Linked DNA regions of Oryzias latipes. The protein of the gene in region 2 interacts with the protein of the main gene of each other region in a pairwise test. Links are inferred from orthologs where the notes say so. Each region holds a gene or a part of one and is shown on either strand. Other genes may lie near its edges.

Region 1 (7,520 bases), on a different chromosome or scaffold from region 2:
GTAAAGTGCCTAGGGGAGCACAAGGGTTAATGGGATGTGTGTGTGAATTTGATCAGAGGACAACACACTTCAGTGTCAGTACACTCATGATACTCCTACTGTTCCTGAACTTGTATGACATACAGTAAAGTATTCCCACTGTACCACAGCTAATAAGAGGGCAGCTTCATGACTCATCCTCTGTCTTGTTGATATTAACATCTGCTGTTTAGAGATATTGGAAATATTGATACAAAATATTTTCTTCCTGCTTGAAAAAAAAAAGAAAAATAGTTGCATGCAGATTTAGTCTTTAGGCCTCAACAAAGCCCATCAGGCCGAATGGTTTCCTTAAAAGTCTCCCACCTCATTGATGCTGCACTGCAAATAATGGCTTTGACTTGACCCAGTGTCAGTGAGCTGTCAAAACAGATGGCACTGTGTGTGTGTGTGTGGGGGGGGGCTGGATTCTCAAGCTGCTTTCCTCATGCTAAAGCCTCAAATTACTGTTTTATCCTGTCAGGTGGCCTAAATAACTTGATTCACTGCTACTGCATGTATACGTGCATGCGTGCATGCATAAGGATGGTGGATCTATCAGGAATAATTTGTGCAGCAGAAATATGTTATTTAGCAGAAACCTTCAAAAATGATCAAAAGTTGACTTAAAAAACTGTAATCGACCTAAAATAACAGTGGAGCTGCATAAAAGCTGTATTCTTTTACGACGAATGTCAAAGTAAATTTAAATTTTCTTATCTACATTTTCATAAATAACTTTTTTGTAAAAATAACAAAACAAAACAAAAACAGTAAAATAGTTTTACTCCACCATCATTTTGACTTTTATTTGATTAGATTTATGATGCAAAATCCGTACTCGTGTTACTGTGACTGTTACTCTCTAGTTAAGATTATTTTTTATTTATAACATTGCCACTTTTTATTGTAGTCATTCATATCACTATATTAGCCTATAGGTGTTAGTAAGTAAAAGTTACAAAAATGATCATCATCAGCTAAGATTTTTGCCAAAAAGTCTTGTTGATTGATTGAATGCCTTTTATTTTCAAACACAAAATTCGGTAAAAAAGTTAAATAAACATGATAAACAGTGGAGTGAAGAAAAATAGTGTTAATTCCCTCCCCAAATCATACTATATTTTATGCATTTTACAAATAAACATACAATAATTAGTCACATAAACACACAAAAAAAGAAAAAAAAAAGAAAACATCAAGGTATCAAAATGTCCCAAAGATGACTGTACAGTCTTTGTCCCATCTGGCTCATCATTTTCCAATTTGTATGTTTCCAAAATTTTCAGCTTGTATTTTTTTTAAATTATTTAATATTCTTAGTCATATTAAAACCTTCCTCCGTGTTTTTCACACCCGCAGCACACAGACAGAAATGTATGGATACTTTTTTGTGTTATCCTTACACAAGGTTGTTTAATGGTGAGTGGTAAATGAGGTGTACTTGTAAAGCGCTTTCTACCTTCCTCGAAGGCCCAAAGCGCTTTACAGTCACAGACCTATTCACACATTCACACACTGATGGCGGCTCCGCTGCCAAACACTGGCACCAACCTTCCACCAGAGGCAAGGTGGGGTTCAGTGTCTTGCCCACTACGACACATGGGTGGGCAGGGCGGGAAACGAAGCTGCAGTCTTTGGATCAGAGGTCAACCGCCCCACCGCTGCATCATGGGTAAGAGTATTTTTTATGGAAGGCTTGAAAAAGTTTGACTTTGATTTTAGAAAGCTGACTGATGATGAAAGGGGGATCAATTTGACATTGGAGTCATAATTAACTTTAAAAAATGAAATATTTGGCTATAAATTGTTTATAAAGGGTTTAAATATTAAACTTTGGTATTGCTAGAATAAGAATGTATTGTTCAGAAGTTGAAAAATATGAAAATATTGAAAATTTTTGCAAAAAAACAGCAACTGTGGACTATTTAAACTCTTTCTTCTTATGTCAGCAATTTCCAGAATATATACATAAATATCATATTTAAATTGTTATTGAGTGCATGATCAATATGATCAATAGGACTTCTTTTTTACTTTTGCAAGAAAGTTCTCAGGTGGGATCCTATAATTCGTGTTTTTTTTTAAATTTCATTAGTGTTGTTTCAGTTTCATAAAATAACAAAAAGTCGGGATATCGGGAAGATCTTCCCCTAGAAATCCATGTGCATCCTTTAATTGGGAAACCCCACGCACGGATTGCCGACCAAAATTCCACAGGAAAATTCCCTGCTTTTCCCTGGGTGGCACGCGCGCTCTCAAGCAATGCACTTGACGCGAGGGCGTGGGCACGCGCCTCAGTGCGTGGGAAGCCCCTAGAATGGACAGCAGTCTGAATGCGGCAGCCGTGGAGTTTCCCCCACTCTCCCAAGGTGCAAATAAAAGTATTTAGTGAAAACAAACACTCTAAAGGAATTAAGGGCCTGCGCCATGTGGATGCTGACAGGTCTACGCATTACACTCTGACTTCACGACTTGGTTTACAGGGGAAAATATCTCACGAGGAAACGCTTTATGCTTACTTCAAGTGTTTGTGGAATGCGCCGCAGCTTCCGGGTATCATTTTTCCCGCGGTCTCAAACGTCTCACCACAAAGCACGTGTCAGAAGTAAAGCCAATGCGACGCTGCCCCCAGCGGCGAACATTATTACTACACCATTTCTTGTAAATGCCCGACTTCTCTGAGGCGCTGCTGTTTATATTAAAGGGCTCGTCTCGTGTAGATCTGTATCTTGCCAGGTTGAAGAACTCATGATGCATCATCAGCGTGGCTGTGCGGGCGGAGAACCTCACAACCAAATATCGGGGCTTCTTTTAATTTAAATGCACTTTTTTCTAAAAAATACAAAAATGAAGCACGTTTATAACATGCATTATATCTTCTCTTTCTGTCCAATTAAAATAAATAAACAAATAAATAAATATATTTACTTATTTTTTTCTTTTCTTTTTCCTTCCAATGTGTAATAATGGTCATGAAACATCAATATAATAGAACAAGCAAGGATTGACACTGTAAGTGATACTGTCTCTTTAAGTGAAATAAAACACCTCGGGTATAATAATTTATGTGCGCAAGTTTCTGCAGAAATGTATACAAAGTGTGCACGCCAGCCGGACGCATGTAAACTGCGGATGGGTCCGGTTATTCAGACCACCCTACAGAAAATAAAAACATATATAGGCTACGTGCAGCGAGCGAGCTGCTGAAGCCAAGCCTTTTCATTAACTTCCCTCTTGGCACCGGCAGTGCAATTTCTCGGAAACAGATCGGTAATCGGCAGTAGCGCATGCGCACTGCGCTTAACTTTGGGGAAACCCAACAAACTCAACTGGGATATAAAAGGAGGACTGTGAGGGGTTGAGTGATCACTCTTGATCAAGAAAGACTTGCGAGAGGATAACTTAAGGATAACTTAAGGACAAGAAAAGGTTCTGGGAAAGAAAATCCCTCAACTACTTTGGACATTTCCCTCATTTTTTTTCCTGCAGCAAGAAGCAAGAAAGAAAACTAAACTGTAAGTAAACAATACATTCATGAAAGTGCACTTTCTTAGTTTGTTTGATATATCTGAATAAATGCGCATGGCATATGACAGGAGCGTGCTTGAGTATTCATTTAAAACGACTTTTCTCAGGCTTTTCGGTGCGCTCTGAGGAATGGACATGATTTGCGCATCTTCACAGTGAACACCACAGGATCTGCGGCGCACTTAGTTATTTTTACGCGCATTCTCTTTCAAAACCCCAATTCAACATGCAAAAGCTCATTTACAATTACGTCTTCGTTAAAAGCCACAGATTTTTTAATCTTGTGCCGTTATTTCATTTTTTTCTAACTTCACATCGACTCCCACGCGTAAACGCCCCCCTTTTCGCGCCCTGCGCTTCCTGGTGAACTCCTCAACCTCTTGCGCGGCGGCAATAAATCTCGAGCCAAGGCGGATGTGACCGTTAATGTGCAGTTAACAACGTGGATCTGACACAAACAGCAGTATTTCTCTGGCTGACAAAACGCTCTTCCCCTCTTGCTCCCTGCACATTTTAGGCAAGCATGCCTGTGGCGAGGATGAGGATGAGGCAGTGGCTGGAGAAGATGATCGAGTCCGAGAGCATCGACGGGCTGCGCTGGGTGGAGAAGGTGAGGACTGGAATCTGCTGCAAAGACAAGTCATGCAATAAATAAACAATTGTAATTCAAAGAGTACAGTAAATCTGCTGTTGCTTCGTGGAATATTTTAGATCTTAATTTGGACATAAATCTAAGCCCACCATTTATTTCTGTTATCACAGGATAAGAAAATCTTCTCGATTCCCTGGAAACATGCAGCCAGACACGGCTGGGAGATGGATAAAGATGCATCCCTGTTCAAAGAATGGGCTATCCACACTGGTAAGGAGGCTAAAAACTTTACATTATCTTCTTAATTATCTTAAAAAGACGTTTTTAACCAAAGTTTTTGATGTTTTCTGCAGGAAAATATGTCCAGGGTCAGGCGACTGATCCCAAGACTTGGAAAGCAAACTTTCGGTGCGCAATGAACTCCCTGCCTGACATCGAGGAGGTGAAAGACAAGAGCATCAACAAAGGCCACCAAGCTATGCGGGTCTTCAGAATGCTCCCCATTTCTCCCAAATGCAAAGGTGAGCAACTGACACCAAATCTTTGATTGCTTTATTGTGGTTATTAATGTTGTGCAGCATCTGTGTGAGATGAGCTGGCACTAAAGAGTTTTGATTCCAATCATCCTAAAGATTTGTTTCTTCTCTTTTCACAGCCAAAAGGAGCAAAAGTGAGGCAAAGCACAAAAACAAGGTAAATAGTTTTACTGTTGTTTTCGTGGCTGCAGAGGCACTTTATTTGCATGTAGTCAGATGCCCATCCAAATGGTGCCATTGACCCACATAGTGATATGTAAATAGGTACCCAGGCAGGAAACGTGAGCAAGACATGTAAGATGTAAATTTATTCAACCTTATCTCCATAGAAAACATCTGTCAAGATGGAGGAAGACAGCGACTACAGCGACACACAGTCTCCTGTCAGCACATCGACGCAGGAGTCCAAGTTCTGCACGCAGGAGAACACAATCGACAGCACCGCAGAGATCGAGCAAACAGGTGAGGAAGAACATACTGATGAGCTGATGGGCGTTTTGAAGCTCCAACCTTTCCACGTGCTAACTTGTGATACCTTTTTATTTACTTCTTTTTCCTGCAGAATTCCCTTATGTTGGGCTGTCTGAAGTACCAGATTGGTCTTTGTCAGTTGAGATTGGGTCAGACCCGTTTTCAGCGTTTTCCCACAGATTCGAGGTTTCCCCCGAACACAGCCCCAGTAAGTTAGCATCTTCAAACGTTCACGATTGTTTATCGGATCAAATCCACAGACCAGTGTACTCATTTTGTGCTTCTCTTCCTCTTCCTTTGGCTGTGATCTTCCAGACTACGACTGCTCCCAAGATATTATTGAGGTAAGCATGACTTCTGACTCCTCCTCCCTGCCTGCATGCTCTTTTCATTGACAGGAAAACCCATTTTTGTCTTTTACTTTTCCTGTTTTTATTTTTTACATTTTTTTAAATAAAACACCCAAAAGAATAAGTTGACTTACTTGATGTGATAAATCAAAAACATGGATGTACTCAATTGGATGTTGCTCTTACAGCTTTGCAAGCAACTCGAGAAAGAGAACAATGGGTTCCTGAGCAATGAAGCATGCACCAGTCCAGGAAGCCTGTGGAGTGAATCTTCCTCAGGTAAATGTCCCTAGCTGATGAATGAACGGTGCAATTTAAGATTACCTTTGATCTACAAGCAGATATCCCATCCTCACATTCACTAACTGCATTTTAATTTCCATTTCCCAGTCGATGAACTAGAAGACACGTCGTTCTACACGCCCCAGTACACGACTTTGGGACCAGAGTTTTCCTGTCAGACGGACAACTTGTGGAAAAATTATTATCAGTACCCTGCCTGCCTCTGAGGTCTCCAGGAGAGGAGTGGACAGGACGCTTCTTAGACACAATGGACTTTTAAGAGCTTTTTCTGATCCACCTCACTTTCCCATTTGAGCGCAAGCCCCCCCCACCCCCCCAGGCTTCCCTCAGGTGTCCACACAGTAAGCTAAATCACCGCCCAGCCTAGCCCATGGACTTCTATTTGTTTGGTAGCAGTTAAAGAGAGTGTGATCATCTCTCCGGCCCCCCTAATGTGAAGAATGAAGACATTGTTGACTGGATCAGAGCAGAGTTGCTGTTCCCTTGTAGCGTAGGTACATAACTCAACCCACTGGTAGTTAGAAATATACACCCTCTGCTAATGGAAATAGACTAACTCTCAGTGCATGTGGTATGCTTCTTAATTGTCACAATCTCTTTTTATCCGTTATGTGCACTTAAACTTGTCTATCTAAAATGGGCAGAAATGCATTCTTACAATACAAAAACAGCTTTCCGTGGTGCTTAGGTGTGAGCTCAAGGCAAATGTAAAATATTAATGTACATAGTTGTTTGGTTTTTGTGTTTTTTTACAAGAAAAATAAAAATATCTTGAAAAAAAATATGAACACTCTTTATTTACAAGCAAAACAAAACGGTGAAAAAAAGAGTTTGCTCAAATCCATCTCGTCCTTAAATGACTTGACGTTTGATTGACTGTAGCTGGCATGACTTTAAGAATGTGGATGATTTTCTAAAGTAGTAATTATTAAGTAGATCCTTAGATCATATTAAATTACAGAAAAGAATTAAAAAGCCAGAGGAAGGAGAAGCATGCACAGTTGCTCTTTTTTTTTTGGGATTCCCCTGGAGTCCCAGAAGTCGCTAAGGGGAATATCAGTTAATCTGTCACATTTACTGTTGAGACTTATCATTGAGAAGGAAGACGAATCAAAAGCCAGGGCGGGCAGATTTGATGAATTATTCCTGTTTTAGTAGATCCTTCAAAATAAACCTGAGCTTTGGCAAAAACCTTTTCAGATGACCCAATGGCTGGCATCTATTTGATTTTTTTTTTTATCCATGCAGCCTTCCAGTCATTTTAAGAGCCTTTATTTTGAAAAGCATCAACAATTTTCTCCCCATTCACGAATGTTTATCCAAACCCTCACAACACTTAAAGTATGTCGCTCAAAGACGCTGTTTTAGAACCTGAATTAGTTGTTGGATAAATACACTTTGCCGGTGTGTCCTGTGGTTTTATAACCTTGGAGTGCAGGGAAAACAAACCATTTCCAGTAAAGCTGATAAAAGCCAGAGGTTATGGCTGCAGTCAAGACACAGTTCACTCAGAAGGCATAAACTTATGCAACTTTATTAAGTTGGCAAACCTTAATAAGGGACAATCACCTTTCATCTGTGAAGTTTACCCACACAATAATGATCTGGGCAGAGTCTGCTTCATCAGGTCACCACCTGCCACGTTTATTGAAATAAAAAGTGTTTGACACCATTTGAAAGTAAGGTGAGAATTATCTTAAAAACCTACTATATTAGGAG
Region 2 (7,461 bases):
CTGACCTGTTGGTACATCCCAGTCTTCCACCCCCCCCCTCTCCTGAGTTTGCTTGTGGTCCAGTCCCGCCCCCACCCGACCAAACTAACTTAAAGTCACTTTTAACCCTGCAGCTCTTGTCTTGTGGTTTTTCACACGCACAAAGACAAATACACGCGCATGTGCACAAACACACAGAGGGTCGCACACATACAGAAATACACGCACAAAAATGTGCAAACACACAGACGTACACAAACAACTACACGTGCACACATATATGCAAACACACAAACGTGCACTTGCGCATAGATTTGCGCACACACAGATACACATTCAAGTACACATGTGCACACACCCAGACATATACACGCACATAGACATGCACACGTTAAGCGCACACACTCACAGACAAATGAACGTGCACACATATGTGCAAACAAATACACGTAAACGTGCACTCACTCAAGCATATGTACACACACGTGCAGTTGTACATAGACGTACAAACAGACGTGCATGTTAACGTGTGCACACACACACGTGCACAGAGCTTGTCCTTCAAACAGGAGGTGTCCCTTCCACAGACAGGTGAGTTTGCAGCTCCAGCTGGAAAACGAAGACGATGTGATGAAGCTGCAATCCGTCTTTTTCACTTTGGAAACCTTCGATCCTCCGTGGATCCACCTCCTCCACGGATGAGTTCTGCTGCCTTTACATTTCAAACGGGAACGTTCGTGACTTTAATCCCGAACATTTGCAGTGGAACACGTGGATGAAACTCAGGAAAGTCCGGTGAGCATCTTCATCTCACAGAGAAGACGATTGGACGGATTTACCGACCAGAACATCTGATCATCAGGAATGTGAAGCTCTAAGCTTCTGAGGAGAATGTGGAAGCAGGAAGTCACACTCCAGATCCCAAAATAAAAGTTTGAACTTGTTTTTTTCCTCCATCTTCTGAGGAACGTTCATGTATACAACGTTCCTTCAGTCTTAGTGTTTCCTGATCTGAAAACCTTCAGTTCACTTGATTTTTGGGGTTGAAGGTTCAAACTTGGCGTAAAGGTGAAATAGAAGTGCTGGAGATGTTTGTGCAAAAACTCCTTAGAGCAAAACCTTCTGGTTGCTCGTCCCCCCCCTCCCTCGGCGGCGCTCCCGGTCAGACGGAGGGAGATGTTGGTGGCTCCTGAGCTGCTGCCGGCACCGACACCAGGTTCAGGGTGATCTCCCCCAGCGGAGACTGACTAGCCAGAGTCTGGAGCACGGAGATGGACTGAAAGATGGAGAGGGCGTTCTGGACCTGCTCCTCCGCCCAGGGAATGGAAACCTGCAGAGGAGGTGTAGACATGGAGAGGATGCTGAGGAGGAGGAGGAGGAGGAGGAGGAGGAGCAGGAGCAACACCTGAGCCTAAAAGCAGGCCAGTTCTGACAACCCCTTCATCTAAAAAATACTACAGAATGTGAAATGGGTCAGAAATAACAGCATGGTTCTGGTTCTGTCTGTGTGTGTGTGTGTGTGGGGGGGGGTCTGAGTGGACCTCCTCACCGTGGCGGTGATCAGTTTGGTGCTGGGGTCCTCTGTGTGAGACAGCTCCTCCCCAAAGCACAGAGTGAAGCTGCACTGGGGGGGCTCGCCCCCGCTGGTCCGGAAATGATCCAGTTCTGCTCAGACGGGAGGGAGGGGGGGGTTAGGCAGACAGAAACATGAGCACCAACCCCCCTCCCCCCCATTGGACAGTGGGACTCACGCTGCCTGAAGATGTCTTTACTGAAGAGCAGCACCGGCTCCGTGTTCCGCTCCATGCGCTGCAGACCCGCTTCACAGCCATGCGGCCCGGTCCAAAAGACCCGCCCCTGGCAGAACCTCTTTCCGTAAACGCCCTGCGGTTGGGAGGTCAGCACCACCCCCCTCTCCATGAAGGGCAGCAGGGTGAAAATGGCTTGGCGCTGCTGGCCGGCGGGCAGCGTGGGGGGTGGCTCCGGCAGCAGGATCCGCGGGAAGCTCTTGTTCAGGGCGGCCGGCGTCGGCGGCAGGGCGGACGACGGCTGGTACAGGATCCTGACGTCGGAGCCGTGGATCTGCCGCCGGGCCACCTCCTGCCCCAGATACTGAACCGCCACCACGATGGAGTCCTGACCTGCAGACAGCAAACATCCCCGTCACCGTCCGGGGAGGGCGGGGCTTCACGAACGTCATCCCGCCTCCCGTTACCTGGAGCAGGGGGGGAGACGCTCTCCTCGATGCGCACGTCCAGCTGGATCTCCCCTAGAGCTGCAGAAACGCCAAACCCGTTACGGCGAGGAACATCAAGCAGAATCCTTCAGTGGGGGAAAAGACTCACCGTCGGTTTGCAGGACGGTGCTGCTCTGCGGGGGCTCCTCCATCGGTGACGGGATGGCGCTCTGCAGCAGAAGCTCCACCTCCAGCTGTTGGAATGAGGAGGAAGAAAGCCTTCATGACCTCCCCGCCGTTTCCGATAGCAACCAAACCAACCAACCCAACTTCCTGAAGGATGTTCAGCGGGAGGCTTCGGCACCGTCCCGCCTAACTCGCCTGTGGGGGCGGAGCCTCGTCGGTTTTCATCTGTTTGACCAGACTGGGTTCGCTCTGGGCCTCGCTGCCGCGCCTCTTCAGCTTCCTGCTGCCCTTTTCCTTGCTTTTCTTCTCGGGCATCACCAAACCTGGAGCGGGAAGTACAAAAACCTGCCGCGTTAGCCATGCGGGTGGGGGCGGGACACCGCCACAGAGCGCGCTCAGAGAGCACCAGCATGCACGGACTAACTTAGATATTTCTTTGAATCTGTAGACGTCTATTACTAAATGATTCATTAACTATTTCATGTCAAATTTTTAAACTTCTGCAGGAAAGATAAGGGGTTAGATAAGAAACCAGGAAAAAGTAATAGAGACTCTAAAAAAAAAGAGAGCCTCATGGTTCAAATTGGGGGGGGGTAAGCAAAGTGGCCCCACCCTGCTCGCTGATGGGGACGAGCCGGTAGACCTTGTAGGGCTCCGAGATGTCCAGCTGGGCTCGCTCCGGAACCTCCTGGAACTCCGGACTCTTGTTAAGAGCGCAGCGGAGGCGCGTCTTCCAGCCAGCCGGGTTGTCCTCACCGCCGTCCGTCAGCTTTCCCTTAAACTCCGCCCACGCCTGCAGACACGGAGCCGTCAGTCTTTAGCAGCCGCCATCGCTCCGGTCCTGATCCACATCCTCACCTTAAAGATGGCGGCGTCTTCGTCTTTACGAAAGTCCTGCTTTCCGGCGTGTTTCCAGGGGATCCGGAACATGGTTTTGGCGTCGTCGTCCCACATGACGCCCGGGTACTTCCCGCTGCTGACCTGTGGATCCCAGAAGACATCAGAGGGTCGCTGGTTTGAATCTTTTTGTAGTTTTCCTCCTAAATGTGATCCAAACACAGAAGTGACCGTTGCAGTTCCACAGCAGACCACCAGAGGCAGCGATCTGCTGAACCCCCCAAAGTTAAAAAGTCAATGTTCTTAAGATGATGGTCAACAACTTTCCCAAACCATTGACGTAAAAACGAACGGACGGCTCAACCCCCCCCCCCCCCCCTTTATGTTCCCAAGGAACATAGGGGGGGGGGGGGGGGGGGGGAGGAAGTACCATTCCAGTACCGGGCGCCGCCATGTTGAAACCAGTCGACAGTGATTGGTGCAGGTCACTCTGGGTTATGGTATCTATGGCAACTACTGTCGGCATCGCCATAGATACGAGGACTCAGAGCGACCTGGACCAATCCCTGTCGACTGGTTTCAACATGGCGGCGCCCGTATCAGGAAGCAGTGGCGAGGGATTTGGCCTCATTTCGCCAGAGCTGGAGGTCAGGCATGCCCTGTGGGTGACGTCACGCCTCCATGCGTCCGTCGTCTATACAGTCGGTGTGGTGAAAACCAAACTTTGGAACACATGACATCAAACTGTGAGCAACATTTAAAGAATCTACGTGTCCGTGGCTCATATGAATGAATAAGGTGTATCTCTGCAACACACAGAGATTATATATGCTGCAATATTTACACCATCAGTAATCCACAAGATTGATTGACATTAGAATCCAGGTTGACGTGTTAAGTTTACCCTGACCTTTGTCTGAAGGTTTTAATGCATCAACATATACCGTGTTTACTTTAGGACAGGGCATTTTATCCCCCCACCCCCACCCCACCTGGAGGAGACTCACCTGCTCGATGATCCACGAGCGCAGCTTGCGCGTGGAGCGCATCCTCACCGCCACCATGGCCTAATAAAACGGGTTTTTTTACCTAACAGGCGGAAGTAACCTGTAGGCATAAACAAGAAAACGCGGTTATTTATTTATTGATTCATTGAGTTGAACTAGATCTTTTTTTTTCATCATGACACCTCAAACTAAAAAAAAAAAAAAACTTATAAACAAGTGACAGAACAACAGCAAAACGAGAAGTGTGCGCGAGCGCGCGCGGTCCATGTTTTTCAGAAGAAGATGATAAGCCGAGCTCGTATAATCTCGCATGTTTCGGACCGAAACTTTTCAGTTAATCTATTTTTATAACAGTGAGCCCTAACACCCCACCCCCACCGCTCCCCAAATCCACAGTAACGGAATTAGGTTTCGTTACCTCTGCGGTGTTTCCTCTGTGAAGCCGTCGCTTTCTGTTGCTCTCAAGTTCGAATCCGTCAGTCCCCGTCCAGCCCCCGGACACAGCCTTTTCCCCGAAACCACGTGACTTTACCGAAACGACCCACCGCTGACCGCTAGAGGGCGACAAAGTACACCGTTTATTGTGTTCAGGAGAACAAAACACAGAAACAAACACTCGGGATAGAAAAGCAAACAAAAAGACATAAAAAAAGGGTCGACTCCACATTAAAGCATTATTCAATTAATTTGCTTCATCTGTCCTTTAGAAAAATACATTTTCAATACCAACAGGGGTATCTCATCAGCAGTCATTCAAACCAACTACATCTTCTGACTGGATGGTTCAACATCCAGTCAAAATCAAACCCTGTGCAGGAGAAAATGACACAAAAATGCCAAATCTAAAAAAATGACAGCTAAAAAAGATGAACAAAAATCAACTGACATTAGGATTCTACATTAATAAAAATGAGTGCTTCCTTTCTGAACCTTTGCGCTTCTGTTACCCTCAGTGTAACCAGCCAAAACTTCCCCACAGGGTAATTACCCAAACATTACACTCAAAACTTCTATACTTCCTTAAAATATATTTTAAAATAATAATAAACCATTTAAGGGTACACGGTAATCACACAACAGAGCAAACTTGAATAAGTGTGATGTCATGTCCTGTTTACCAGTGTGGAGAAAAGAGTTATGACGCATGTTCCCGTTTGACAGTGAATTCTGGGTAATAAATGCCAGTAGGTAATTTTAACTCTTTGTCACATGGTGAGAAAATAAGGCAGAGATGCAGCCCAGAAAAAAACGATGTTGACTTGCAGGCAGGTTTGCACAAGTGGAGGAATGAATGAAAAGGAAGTGTAGAACAGGGATCCTCAACCCCTGGACTGAAACACAAAAACTCACAGACGCACAACGGATAATCTCACTTCAGGTTTATTCAGGTCAATCCAACATTTTAAAGAAACTACAATCATGGTTCCACCTGATTTTTATTGAGCGGGTTAGACAGTCAAATCGGAACGATCAGATCTTCAAAGATGAAAATGATTCGTGGCATGAAGCCGAGACACGACCACAGAAGAGCAAACGCCGTCAGTGAGGGGAGACAATCCTCCATCACAGACACAAAACTCAAGCTGATGCCACTTCCGCTGCGTTTCTTCATGTTTTTCGAGGAACTTTCTCTCCCAGAGGAACCTCCATCAGTTTCTGTGGGACACAGCAGGACGTGCATGAGTGGGGGGTGTATCAGCCGTGGTTAGGCCGTCCCGCAGCTCACCACTAACCTTCAGCAGGCGGGCGTGGTAGTCGTTGTCGTCCTCCGCCTCTGCCCTCTGCGTGTCCACCTGGTAGCGCTCACAGGCCCGGGTCAGCTCCTGGCTTTGGTAGAGCGGCGCAGGATCCAGGGAGTGAGCGTTGATCAGACTCACCAGGTACTCTCTGTAGTGTTTGCTGCAGGGCAGACAGGGAGTAGAACCCGCAGCTTCAGAGGAGCTTCAAAAGCCTCACAGAGATGCTGATGTCCCGTCCTTTGAGGAGAAATTTCTCCTTTTGATCTTTACTGTTTAGCTGCTTAAATCCCCACTAATATATAAAGTCTTTGTAATTTAAACTGAATTAATGTGTTCTCATCAAAAGCTTCATTTCTGCTAACCGGTGATTTCAAATAAAAACAAAAATGCCGTTTCTGCCAAGTCCCACCACCATTTTTTTATTCATGATGAAGCCGTTTTTAGCCAAAATGTAAATAAATGCTGTTGTTTTCATAGTGTCTGCAGAGCGGCAGGAGTTCATGACAAATCTGACACTGAGTCGGCCCCCTTAGTAACCCCGCCCCCTCTTCCCCTCGCCATTGCTGAGAGTTCGTGGTTTCTACGTCACATATGCGACCTTGTTCCTCTGCCCCCGACTCATGATTGGAATCAGGAAATCCTCCGATACGTTAAAGCAGAGCTCATAATGCAGACGTTTTACTCACTCGCAGAGTCCCGCCTGACCCGGCTGCGTTTGGACGCCGCAGGGAGAGTCCACCTGCTGCCCGCCCTCGTCTTTCTGCTCCATCACGCCGCAGGCGTCTGCGTCAGAAGCACTTTAGAATCCTCCAGCCTTTGGCGGCGGAGCGGCGGGCGGACACAGACTTACCCGTTTGAGCCCCGCTGGACGGATCCGTGTTGTAGCCGACTCTGTTCCTCTGAGCACAAAAAAAACAGAAACGTCAGCGTGACGGCGTCAGCGTGACGGCGTCAGCGTGACGGCGTCAGCGTGACGGCGTCAGCGTGACGGCGTCAGCGTGACGGCGTCAGCGGCCCTCTCCTCTTCGCAAACACAGAAGCTGACCTGCAGCAGCGCCTGCAGCCGAGCCGCATCCCAGTCCCGCAGGTAGAAGAGGCAGTCCCGAGGGTGGTGGGCGTGCAGACCGGGGTAACTGCACTGAGGAGCTTTGCACGCAGTCTGCAGGAGAGCAGCAGATGCTGTGAGGATCAAAACATCTCATACCTTTTAAGAAAATACCTCAGAGATGGGAAACAATCAAAGAACTTGAACATCCTTTCCGTCTGCAGGAAGCCCCTCCCACCGGCCCAGCTACATCTGAATGTTTGAGCTTCAAACATGGCAGAGATCTTTCCTGTTCCGTTTTCTGCATTCTCATCTGAGCATGTGCAGAAGTCACCTGCCGCTCACCTTGTGGTACGGGTTGTTGCAGCCGCTGCAGAACTGGTACCTGCACTGGGAGCAGGTGAAGTGCATGCAGCCGCCCTTGGTTAGCGCGTACTGGAAGCCGCACTGGAGACAGGCTGAGGGAGAAACGGGGACGGACACCTTAGTCCA

Evidence for each region.
Region 1: the proteins of irf9 (region 2) and interferon regulatory factor 1 interact in a two-hybrid assay, tested with the Homo sapiens proteins (2 studies listed by BioGRID and IntAct). The link is inferred for Oryzias latipes from reciprocal best matches to the Homo sapiens genes IRF9 and IRF1.

The regions. Positions count from the first base shown.
Region 1 is NC_019872.2:4,966,412-4,973,931, forward strand, and holds interferon regulatory factor 1, read left to right. Parts: upstream 1-3,377; 5' UTR 3,378-3,536; intron 3,537-4,066; 5' UTR 4,067-4,072; coding exon 4,073-4,159; intron 4,160-4,311; coding exon 4,312-4,411; intron 4,412-4,494; coding exon 4,495-4,662; intron 4,663-4,796; coding exon 4,797-4,834; intron 4,835-5,006; coding exon 5,007-5,139; intron 5,140-5,239; coding exon 5,240-5,356; intron 5,357-5,463; coding exon 5,464-5,492; intron 5,493-5,686; coding exon 5,687-5,777; intron 5,778-5,888; coding exon 5,889-6,007; 3' UTR 6,008-6,583; downstream 6,584-7,520. UniProt on the Homo sapiens protein: Transcriptional regulator which displays a remarkable functional diversity in the regulation of cellular responses.
Region 2 is NC_019878.2:23,622,998-23,630,458, forward strand, and holds irf9 (interferon regulatory factor 9), read right to left. Parts: upstream 4,717-7,461; 5' UTR 4,604-4,716; intron 4,286-4,603; 5' UTR 4,243-4,285; coding exon 4,186-4,242; intron 3,323-4,185; coding exon 3,200-3,322; intron 3,135-3,199; coding exon 2,954-3,134; intron 2,665-2,953; coding exon 2,537-2,664; intron 2,410-2,536; coding exon 2,325-2,409; intron 2,255-2,324; coding exon 2,195-2,254; intron 2,121-2,194; coding exon 1,731-2,120; intron 1,645-1,730; coding exon 1,529-1,644; intron 1,310-1,528; coding exon 1,142-1,309; 3' UTR 110-1,141; downstream 1-109. Other genes in the region: E3 ubiquitin-protein ligase RNF31, read right to left, coding at 5,794-5,841, 5,919-6,084, 6,611-6,707, 6,775-6,823, 6,970-7,083, 7,315-7,427.